Macaca fascicularis: one gene and its partners. The protein of the gene in region 2 interacts with the protein of the main gene of each other region in a pairwise test. Links are inferred from orthologs where the notes say so. Each region holds a gene or a part of one and is shown on either strand. Other genes may lie near its edges. The genes, in order: EPB41L3, MBIP and MCM7.

Evidence for each region.
Region 1: the proteins of MBIP (region 2) and EPB41L3 interact in a two-hybrid assay, tested with the Homo sapiens proteins (2 studies listed by BioGRID). The two-hybrid records come from large-scale screens. The link is inferred for Macaca fascicularis from reciprocal best matches to the Homo sapiens genes MBIP and EPB41L3.
Region 3: the proteins of MBIP (region 2) and MCM7 interact in binary tests that used the Homo sapiens proteins (3 or more experiments, as listed by UniProt). The two-hybrid records come from large-scale screens. The link is inferred for Macaca fascicularis from reciprocal best matches to the Homo sapiens genes MBIP and MCM7.

The regions. Positions count from the first base shown.
Region 1 is NC_088392.1:74,037,806-74,041,553, forward strand, and holds the start of EPB41L3 (band 4.1-like protein 3), read right to left. Parts: upstream 2,443-3,748; 5' UTR 2,358-2,442; intron 1,869-2,357; exon of another isoform or gene 1,766-1,868; intron 1-1,765. UniProt on the Homo sapiens protein: Tumor suppressor that inhibits cell proliferation and promotes apoptosis. Modulates the activity of protein arginine N-methyltransferases, including PRMT3 and PRMT5.
Region 2 is NC_088381.1:104,146,775-104,150,422, reverse strand, and holds part of MBIP (MAP3K12-binding inhibitory protein 1), read left to right. Parts: intron 1-2,348; coding exon 2,349-2,414; intron 2,415-2,647; coding exon 2,648-2,800; intron 2,801-3,648. UniProt on the Homo sapiens protein: Inhibits the MAP3K12 activity to induce the activation of the JNK/SAPK pathway. Component of the ATAC complex, a complex with histone acetyltransferase activity on histones H3 and H4.
Region 3 is NC_088377.1:48,752,571-48,756,318, reverse strand, and holds the start of MCM7 (DNA replication licensing factor MCM7), read left to right. Parts: upstream 1-936; 5' UTR 937-1,033; coding exon 1,034-1,064; intron 1,065-1,564; exon of another isoform or gene 1,565-1,857; intron 1,858-2,245; coding exon 2,246-2,325; intron 2,326-2,586; coding exon 2,587-2,751; intron 2,752-2,806; coding exon of another isoform or gene 2,807-2,814; intron 2,815-2,940; coding exon 2,941-3,065; intron 3,066-3,140; coding exon 3,141-3,321; intron 3,322-3,634; coding exon 3,635-3,748. Other genes in the region: AP4M1 (AP-4 complex subunit mu-1), read right to left, coding at 340-449, 557-614. UniProt on the Homo sapiens protein: Acts as a component of the MCM2-7 complex (MCM complex) which is the replicative helicase essential for 'once per cell cycle' DNA replication initiation and elongation in eukaryotic cells.

The DNA of each region.
Region 1 (3,748 bases), on a different chromosome or scaffold from region 2:
GGATAGTGGCATCTCTTCTACCTAGGTGGCCCCTTAATGCATCTGACCAACCAGTTCTTAAAAAACAATTATAAATAAAATTGCATCCGATCAAGTTTAAAAATATCCTGATCTTTTTATTTCAACACAAAGTTGGCCAAAGTCCAAGCACTGTATAAGAATTGATGAAAAATTGCTTTTAACCTAAATCACATTCAAGCAGAAGAAATGTCTTAAAAATTAAATGTAAATATCTCACTGAGACACTGACATTTGATCTATAGCTCCCAAATCCTTCACCTAAAAGGGGTTTACAAATTAAAGTGGCTACTCTTCTTGTTATGGATGAATTATTCACAAAACATGATCTGTTTTGAAAAACTTATTTTGGCTAAAGTGTATTAACTAAATAAACTTGATGCAGTGTTGTGCATCTAATAGTTTACTTTTCTAAACTACCAGAAAACCATAATGCAAATGAGATAGTATTAAGCATTCAGCTATCAATGCCTTGCAAATTAACAAATTGAAGTCACGCTTCTCCAATTTAGTATTTATTCCCTCTCACATTAATTTTGTTACTCCAACTAAAGTTTTTAAAGTTTGATACCAAAATTAACATGCATTTTTTAAACACTCTCTCTGAGCCAAGACAGAAATCACCTCTCAGTCCCCAGAGTTCACTGGAGCTTGATGTGCTGCTCTCTTTTCTTAATAGGGCTTTTCTGCTTAATTTGCTGTAATTGGGACTACGTCCATGGCTCACAGACATCAAGTGGAATTTTACCATTTTTGTTTCCTTGAGACTTTAAAAATCAGGGTGAATTTCAAAAATAATGTTTTTAAGCACTTCGTGTGACGCTTCCTGTACTACAGAAGTTAATGCTATCAAAAGAAACTCCAGCACACCTGGCCACCTCAGAGAGCTTAAAATTCCCATTGCAACCCCCGCCCCCCAACAAAAAGGACAGGCAGGATATCTGCAAAAGCAATTCCGCAAGACTAATGTAAAAAAGCTGAAACAACTTAAACACGCAATGGAAGCACTGCATTAGCAGGACTGCCGGGCCCTCGCAGGACCTCCCAGCCCAACCTCCACAAGTAATTAATACCACATGTTTCCTTTATCATTCTATTTGTTCTGTTCCGCAATAATCTCTACCAACTTTAACCCTGGGCTGCAACTAAAGGAAAAACCCTAGGAAACTTCAGATCCGTAATATAGAAAGAAAATTGAGAAGAATACTCTCATTGCAAGGGACCACAGTTACAATTTACTAGGTAACCACACCCACCGCATTGCAGAAGCCATGAACTTCGCGGGCGTGGGGGGGGTGGGGGAGAAGGGGAAGAAGTCGGGCGAGATTAGAGGCGAAACCCGAAAAAGCAAGCCCCTGCGGCAGCAACCAGGAAACACCCGCCAGGAACTGGCTGACACCCCAGCTCCAGCGGTCCGAAGCCCCAGCCTCCCCACCCCCACCGCTGCAGAGCCGCCTTCGCAGACACCTCCCAAGGCGAATCGCAGCCCGGAGGGCGCCAGGTGAGTCGCGCCGCCCCAAGCCCCCGGGCCACGACAGGCCGACCCAGGCGCCCCCGGCCCGCCCCCGGGTGCCAGAGGCGAGGGGCCCCTGCAGGTGCCCAGGCCCAGGGCAACCCCGCTTGGACGCTCCCTCCTCCTCCCCCACCGGCCGGGGGCCGCTGCCCCAGTTCGGGGAACGAGGCAAGTTATATAAAAGCGGCCGGCCCCGCTGCCCAGCGGGGATGCTTTGTGCGGAGCGCACCTTACCGGCCCCGCGCCGCGCCCGCCCGCGCCTGCACCCGGGACGAGCCCGCAGCCGCCGCGCACTGAGCGCACGGCCCCTCCCGCGGCCCGCCAGCCGCCAGCCGCCACCCGCCCGGGCGGCGCCGCAGTGTCGCCCCCTGTCCCTCGCACCTCCCCGGGGGAGGGGCCGGCCCGCGCTCGCCCCCAGTCCGAGGGGCAACTTAAAACATGGCGCCCCGGGCGGGGGATTTGCGAAAATTGGCGGAGAAGGGACGCGGGGACCGAGTTGCCCCATCGGCCAGGGATCCCAGGGAGGCCCCCAGGCCGGAGGCCGGGACTCAGGCTCTGCGCGCCGGCCCAGCCACTGCTGCAGCGCGGCGGGTGGAGCGGGCGGGGGGCGCGGCGCACAGGCTCGGCCCGCCGAGGGTCCCGGCGAGCGGGAGGGCGGTTGGGGACCCCAGGCGCGGGGCTCGGGATTCGGGAGACCGCGCGGCGCCGGAGCCACGCGTCAGCCCCACAGCCCGTGCGCCTCGCCCCAGGCCTCGGGCTCTTCCTCCGCACCTCGTAAAGCCGAGACCCCCTCGCAGTCCCCCACTCCGGGAGGCGGAAAAGTTACCTGGGATCAGCGGATAGCCCAGGCGCGCCGCGGCGTGGGGACCAGGCTCGGGCGCGCGTCCTCGGCGGCGGTGCGCAGGAGACTCGGGCGTGGGGAGGAAGCCGCAGCCCAGGGCTGCTCGCCGCGGCTCCCCCCGCCCCCTGTTGCAGGAGACACCGAGGCTCCGCGGAGCTGCGGCGGGGGCCCACGCCCAGAGACCGCGCAAGGAAAGCCAACCTCGTCCTGCCTGCCCTCCCAGCCGCGGGGGAGGGGGCCAGCGCAGTACTTCAGGACAGTTACATGGGCACAACCTCCTCCTTCCTGGCGCAGGGTCAGGCTCCGCGGACGACGCCTGGAGACAGCTGCCAATGCCAATAGCTTTAGCCCTTGATTTCCACTTAGATGATGGCCTGGCCTCTCCAGCCCCCTCTCCCCTCCCAGACATCCCCTGTGAGAAAGGAGGGAGGGGGTGTTCCTGACCTTCAGGTGAGTTATTTATTGGCTAGGGACTGCAGTATTTTTTTTTTTTCTTTTTGGAAAGAAAATAAAAATCAAGTTGGTGGTGTTTTGAAGTCATGTTAATAGAGAAGATCTGAATTAATGGTTGATAAGAGAAGTCGCCCATCTTTCAGCAACTCAGCTACTCCGTCCTCTCCAGTACCTATAAAGCTTTCCACTGAAATGGAGCGGAGGGGGCTCCCTGATTTGTAAGTGAAATAAGTAACTCCTGGTCGTCTCACAATATCTTAAGATCTGACCGAGTAACTAAGACATTTAAGAAATGTTTTTATGGGCACAAAAAGAATAGAGTGAATAAGACATAGTATTTAATAGCACAACAGGGTGACTATAGTCAAAATAATTTGCACATTTTAAAATAAAGTATAATTGAATTGTAACACAAAGGATAAATGAAGGATGGATTTCCTGTTTTCCATGATGTGATTATTACACATTGCATGCCAGTAGCAAAACATCAAATGTACCCCCATAAATATATATACATACTATGTACCCACAAAAATTAAAAATAAAAATATTAAATATTAATTTTTAAAATTTTATGTATAAGTCATACAACATAAGATACATATATAGTAAAATGGTTATTATAGTAGATCAAATTAGCATATCTATCATCTCACATAGTTATGCATTTCTCCCAACACCCCTCTACTTGTGGCAAGTGTAGCTATAATATACTCATTTAGCAAAATCCTGAATACAAGACACTTCTTAGCTCTAGTCCTCATGTTGTACATCAGATCCTTTTCATGTTGTACATTATTTTTTTTTAAATAGAGCCTTCTCCAGATCATCCGGTTGCCCCTCCAGGAGCTCAGGGACTCATTAAAAGAGGGGAAAAAAATGGATTAACAAAAATACTGGATTTGCTACTGGGTGCCAAAGAC
Region 2 (3,648 bases):
AATAATAGACTATATTGCAAACTGGTTTTCATTTTGGTTACACAAAGTAAATGCTAACATTAAAAGTGTTTATCACTGGCGAAGATTATTTTAAAGTTCCTTTAGGAAATGAATGTGAGGTATGAGTGACAAGGTTGATCTATCCCACTAGTAAAAGGAACTGAGCTCTATGAGTTTCAAACCTATACATGTACTGTGAAATCATGATGTTAATACATAAGTGAACTTAAAGTTAATATTCCTCCAGAGGGAGCAGTTTTCTCACTACTCCTGAGCTGTTTGAAATGTCCTATGTCACAATACAACCAATTTATCATGAAGACTATGGTGTCTTGCTTTTTTCCTTTCTGCCATAGTGCATACGTTTGTTGTTTTTCATCAGATTCTCCTTTACCTCTCTACTTGATGCTATAGTACATTTACAAATCTGCAGTTATGCTGCAGAATACAAAATATTGCAAAGCAGTGCCATAGATCATACTCAGGCACCATAGTAATAATCAGAACAACTAGTTCTTAGGAAAAATTATGGAGAAGAATTCATAATTGGGATGAACATGTTTCTTGTTGCCTCTAATATCTCATGACTAATTATTATGAACATAGAATTGTCAGATGAACCTAAAACTGACTCATATCACATTGGTACACTGATTCTCTTAATAATGAAATAATATAGGCTGGTATTGGATCCTGAATTTAGCTGTGTGCTACTATTAACATTACACATGTGCATCTCTAAATTTGGTATATTTTCCTATTAGCTTTTCAGAACAGGTGCAACAATGGCAAAATCTCAGGTACTACAACCAGCTATAAGCGACTATGAGAAAGGGTTTGTTGCGAGAGCAAGCACATGTGTCACTAATGTTATTCCTCTGTTCTCCCTGCTAACTCTATTATTATAAACCACCAGGGGATAGAAATTGACAAGAATTGAAATGCTCAGCAGGATTCCTTGGCCCATTCAATTCCTTGCTGGCTCAAAACAGTGCTAGAAAGAATTGCTGTGGAGAGTGACTAGCACTCATATACTCACACCATGCTGAATTTCTCACTGATGGGTCAGTTAATCTATATGTTTGGAATATAGTTCTGGAATGGATGATAGCTTCTTTTTTTAACCCTTAGCCCCATTAAATGGTAGGAAGAGAATGGAGAAAGGATGGCCTTTTAAGCATATTTTGAGGTGCCTCCAAAAAAAAAAAAAAAAAAGGAAAGATGACTGTTTAGTCTCTGGATATAAAAGCTAAGTGGATTTGGAATTTTATGCATACTATTTGATTTATCAACAGAACTACTAAGGAAAGTTCAACTGAAAAAATATAAATGCATTTTAATATGTTAGTGTGTTCCTTTTTATTAAAAGGGATTTTAATAGTACAAATCTAACTATAAGCAGTGGAATTTTTAAAAATCAAATTTCATGGTGGGGGAAGGAATTTTTTTTTTAAGAATCTCATTTACCAGCCATTTTTTACAAAATATTCAAGGGAATTTTACAGGAGACTTACTGCCAATGTGTGGCTTTTAAGCATTGTTTCAAACACAAGTATATATTATTACTATGTAGTATCATATGTTAATATATAACAATTATGTTAATATATTAGTTGTATTATATGTTAACATCTTTCCAATTTTCCCCCTTTGTAATTTATGCATTGATATCTAATTTGAAAGAAACTATACTTTTCAGCTTGGAAAAAAATAGGAACAAATTTTCACAACAGACCTTTCCTAAATTTAAACTTTTTTGAAAGTGGTAGGATGAGAAGAAGTAGATGACTTTTGTGATGACAGATTTCTAAAATGAGCACTGGAAATCTAGGTAGAGTGGAAATGTGTGTGTACTTGAGGTTTTGAGGTCATCTTTATGTGGAGTTCTGAAATAAAAATGTGTTAAATACATAATTCTTTTTGTTGGGTGTTCACTAATTTGGCATTAAAATAAAACATGCTGAATTAAAAGAATTCTAGTAAAAATGATGAGTTCTAGTTCTACGATGAAGTAGAATTTAAATACTCTACAGTAGATTATTTTCTCCAGAGGCCCGAATAGTGACATTGGTTTTCAAAATTGTATCAATTTGTGCCACTTAATGTTGATGGCTTTTCTGTATATAAATCTGAATATTAGGTAAGAATATTAGATATTACGATACATTTTGACAGGTAAAGAAGGTCACTAAATTCTATCCTGTGTGTGATGGTAATTTATTGTTACTATTATTTATTAAAATTATTATGAGTAAAATGTTAATATGAATGATTGGAAGTTTATTAAAATCTCATACATTTGAAGGGAAGAATATATTTAAACTTATATTTATCTAAATTCTCCTTAGAAAATAGTTGTGCAAGAACTGATGCGATTTTTACTCCTTACCCCGGATTTAAAAGTCACGTAAAAGGTAAGTAACCACCACATGACATCTGAGTCACTGACAGAAGTCTAGATTATTAGCAAAATGGAATAGAAATAACTTTCCCATCTAAATTTTATTTTAAAACAAAAACATCTTGCCGTCCTTCATACTTGTGGTTAGATGGTCTTTATGAAAAAAATACAAAGTGCTGTTAGGGAATAAGAATTTCTGATTTTTGAAATATAAATGTATATAGGCTCAAAAGTTTGTTAATTTAGTTTCTAGAGTTGTGAATACATACGGACCACAGACTAGACCTGAAGGAATTCCAGGGTCAGGTCATAAACCTAACAGCATGCTTCGAGATTGTGGTAATCAGGCTGTAGAAGAACGACTACAAAATATTGAGGCCCACTTGCGGTTACAGACAGGTAAGCAGAGTGCTAAGTGGACCTCATAATGAACCTTTGCAAATGGTTAAAAAATTGCAGTTCATTTAGTCACCAAATTTTCCTTTAGCTCCTAACATTGTTTGAACGATAAGTGCCAGTCATTCAGAAAGTGTTATGTATATGTCAGTTCACTTAAAAGGTCATAGTACCCTTTTGAGGTGTTGGTGCTGTTATAATTGTACAGATAAATAAATTGAAGTTTAAAGAGCCCAAGCAACACGCCTCCGATAGTAAGTGACAACTCTTTAAAAAAAAAAAAAAAAGGAAAAGAGATAGTCCAGACTTGCCTAGGCTGGACTTGAACTCCTAGGCTCAAGTGATGCTCCTGCCTCAGCGTCCTGTGTCAGTGGGACTACAATCATGTGCCACTGCACCCTGCTCAAACCTAAATCTTCACTGGATGCAGAGCCTGAGTCTCCCTCTCCGTTTAGTCACCATGTCTGTTGATTCTGTTTTCTGAATAAATATCTCTCAAATCTGCCCACTTCTGTCTTATCTCTACTGCTGCTACCAGAGTTGAAGCTGCTGTGATCTCTTGCTTGGACTGATGGAAGGATATTTACTGGATTCTTTGCCACTAGACTTCCTCTAGATCATTCTCTATGCTGCGGCCAGATTGCTTTTTCTAAAACTCAAATTTGATCTTGTTTCTTCCCAGCTAAAAATTTGGAGATTGGGATTGGAGGGGGTTGTAATTTTAAGTAGTATTGTCCACATCTGTAGTTCCAGCTACACCTCTGGGCTTCCCATCTCCCACTCGTTTTGCTGCTTTAGGATCTTTATACTCATGCCCTTCTGTCCATGCTTTTTCTTCCTAATCCTAGACC
Region 3 (3,748 bases), on a different chromosome or scaffold from region 2:
CTGCAACCTCTGCCTCTTCGGTTCAAGCGATTCTCCTGCCTCAGCTTCCCGAGTAGATGGGATTACAGGCGCCCGCCACCACGCCCAGCTAATTTTTTTTTCGTATTTTTAGTAGATGCGAAGTTTCAGCATGTTGGTCAGAATGGTTTCGAACTCCTGACCTCAGGTGATCCGCCCTCCTCGGCCTCCCAAAGTGCTGGGATTACAGGCGTGAGCCACCGCGCCGGGCCTCTTGTTAGTTTTACTTGGAGAAATACAACCCCCAAGTGGAAGCTACCATGGAACCAGTCCTGGGAGGGAGACGGCGCCCACCCGGCCCGCCCGGGCCCAGCTCCTCACCCGCCTCCCGCCAGTGGTTACCATGACAACCGGGGACTCGTCTCCTGGCAGTCCCGTCAGCTTCCGGTAGAAGAGCTCGGCCACATCCCGGCCGCCACTGTCCCCGCGGACTGGCGGGTGGAAGGACTCAGTGAAGGATCCTGCGACACGGGCTGGCCCTGGGCGCCCCTCCCGCCCGGTCCCTCCGCCCCTTCCCAGCCCCGAGGGTCTAGGATACAGTCTTTGTAGATGAGCGGGTCCCCCTTGGAGGACAGAATGAAGAACTGGGAAATCATGGCCGTCCTGGAGAGCAGACAAGAAGACGGCGAAAGTTGGGCCTGCCCCGCCCTGAGGCCCCGGAACAAAAGAACGCGCGTGCGCTGGCCCTTTAAGAGCGATTCTCCTCCGCCGCGCCAGCTTGGACCGCGGGAAACCCGGCGCCCGCCCCACCCCGCCCGGAGATTCCCTTCCGACTCCCGCACCGCCTCCCCGTCACTCATTCGAGGCCCGCCCGGCGATTGGCTTGCGGCTAGCGGGAGGGAGAAAGGGCCGGCTTTTCCGATTGGCCCGCACGCAGTGGCGCTGGTCACGTGGGGGGCGACGTTTCGCGCCAATTTCGGTTGGCCGGCCACAGTCCACCGCGCGGACGTTCTCAGCTTCCCCAGAAGCAAGACCTCTGAGCCCGCCAAGAGCTGCCGCACAGGCCTCGGCAGCGATGGCACTGAAGGACTACGCGCTAGAGAAAGGTACGGGTCTACAAGCCTGGGAGGGCGTCCTGCGCGGGGAGCCTCCCGGGGAACACCTGTTGATGTGAGCTGGGGTCTTCGAGGACCGGGGTCAGCGGGTTCTGGGGCGCGCGACGCCAGAGGCAGGGTCGGGTTGCGGCCTGGCTAAGGCCCACGGGACCTGGAAGGCGCGCGAGGGGCATCGACGTTGAAGAAAAGGTAGTAATCCCACTTGGGAAAGGTGTTATAGAGTTGGGGGGCTTGGGGGGCGCTACCCGGCTGAGGGCTGCACAGGGAAGAGTCGCGCCGAGGACCTCAGGAGACTCTAAGGGCTCTGGACCCCGGACCCGCTTCCCTCCGCGCTTTTGGATATTCCCAGGTTCCCGCCGCCTCCCCGAGGCGCGCGGAGGCCCCGGGGGCGGGCAAGCCGGGGCCGCTACGTGCCGGGATTGGCCGTTTGAGGCCGCCCTCCGAGCGGAAGTGGAGCCGGGCGGAAGTGGCGCGACGCGGGTGGAGGGAGTGTCGTGTAAACAGTGTCCTTCCGCGTGGCGGCCTCGGAGAGAGCTGCGACCCGGGGGGGCGTGCCTGGGATCCGGGAGCTTCGCTCGGGCCCGGGAAAGGCGGCAGTGGGCTGGGATCGCAGTGGCCCTGGGCGTGCTGGCCAATGGCTGAACTGGCTCCCGCCTCGGGCGGAGGAATCCCGGGCTGTGAAGCGGCTGGAATCCGGGCCCATGTGCTTCTTTGTTTACTAAGAGCGGAAGCGCTGGCGGGAGCGGTGGTGGGGTGCGGGACCTGCCTGGTGGCGGAGGTCTCGGTGAGATAAGGGGCTCGGGGGACCCAAAGAAGGCAGGGGATCATGGGGGTGGAAAGAAAGCTGAGAACCTTGAGGCCGGAGTGTGGGAGGCCAATGGGGAACGGCGCTAGGATTTTAAACTAAAGTAGGGACAGGAATTCCCCTGGGGAATAGATGTTGGATCGCCCTGTGCACTGCCCCGGGCTCTTTATTCTTCGCTGGTTAAAACAGACTGTGCAAAAGAGTTATGCCCACTTTGGGGAGAATTCGGTAGTTTATTTAAATGTTCATATTATTAGTTCATAGGCTGTGTTTTAAGCGAAAATAGGTATCTTAGATTTCTATCAGAGGGATGGGCAGTGATGTGTCTTAAAGTTTATGTTTTATGATTTTACATTTCACGTTACAGAAAAGGTTAAGAAGTTCTTACAAGAGTTCTACCAGGATGATGAACTTGGGAAGAAGCAGTTCAAGTATGGGAACCAGTTGGTAAGTATAAGATTGGGTAAAGGGAATGGGGAAGTGGGGTGCATAAGGAGCCATAAGAAGTAGCTTGGCTGGTTTTATTAAAGAGGTAATAATTAGAGGGTTTGGGGGCTGAGAAGCAAGTATCTCTCTAAGTGGTGCTGTGTTCCCCCCTGTGGATGCCCAGAGCCTGTGCTGAGTTCTCAGTAATGTATCTTCACATATGAACACTGGTGCACAAGGTGAATGTGGCTTTGAGGTGTTTCTGTCTCTTTCTCACCTGAGGTTCGGCTGGCTCATCGGGAACAAGTGGCTCTGTATGTGGACCTGGACGACGTAGCCGAGGATGACCCCGAGTTGGTGGACTCAATTTGTGAGAATGCCAGGCGCTACGCAAAGCTCTTTGCCGATTCCGTACAAGAGCTGCTGCCTCAGTACAAGGAGAGGGAAGTGAGTGGCTAGAGAACAATGGCAAACAAAGGGAAAGGCATTTAAGCTTCTGTAGAGAGGCTGGTCAGATACTGATGTTTTCTGAGCAGGCAGAAAGAAGGGGCATTTCAGTCTGGTGTTCTCTGCACTCTCCTTTCCCCATCCTGTTGCTCGTTTATTTATTTATTTGTTTATTTTGTCCTCCTTTAGGTGGTAAATAAAGATGTCCTGGACGTTTACATTGAGCATCGGCTGATGATGGAGCAGCGGAGTCGGGACCCTGGAACAGCCCGAAGCCCCCAGAACCAGTACCCTGCTGAACTCATGCGCAGATTGTGAGTGGTCTCTGTTTGGAAGTATGTAGGGATTGGTTCTCCAGGATCTTGTTTGTGACTGTTTTCTCCCCTTAGTGAGCTGTATTTTCAAGGCCCAAGTAGCAACAAGCCTCGTGTGATCCGGGAAGTGCGGGCTGACTCTGTGGGGAAATTGGTGACTGTGCGTGGAATTGTCACTCGTGTCTCTGAAGTCAAACCCAAGATGGTGGTGGCCACTTACACTTGTGACCAGTGTGGGGCAGAGACCTACCAGCCGGTACGTGTGGAGCAAGGAGCAGGAAAGCCCTTACCCATTAGTCGTTTTGTAGAGATTAATTTGATCCCGTGATGCCTATCATTTTCTTTGCTTGTAAAAGTTGCCTGTGTGTTTGCCTTTCATTGTTGGGTATGTAATGGTCTTTCTACCTATTTCTTGGGTGTTTGTTGTTGACCCAGAGTTAAGTTCAAAGGGTTCTTGACACTTCCAAGATGTCTGCCATGAAGAGAAAATGTGATTCAAGGAACCGACCGACCCAATGGGGCTCTTTTGCTTCTGACTTCCTTTTGCTGCTTCTGTTCTCACATCCTAGATCCAGTCTCCAACTTTCATGCCTCTGATCATGTGCCCAAGCCAGGAGTGCCAAACCAACCGCTCAGGAGGGCGGCTGTATCTGCAGACACGGGGCTCCAAATTCATCAAATTC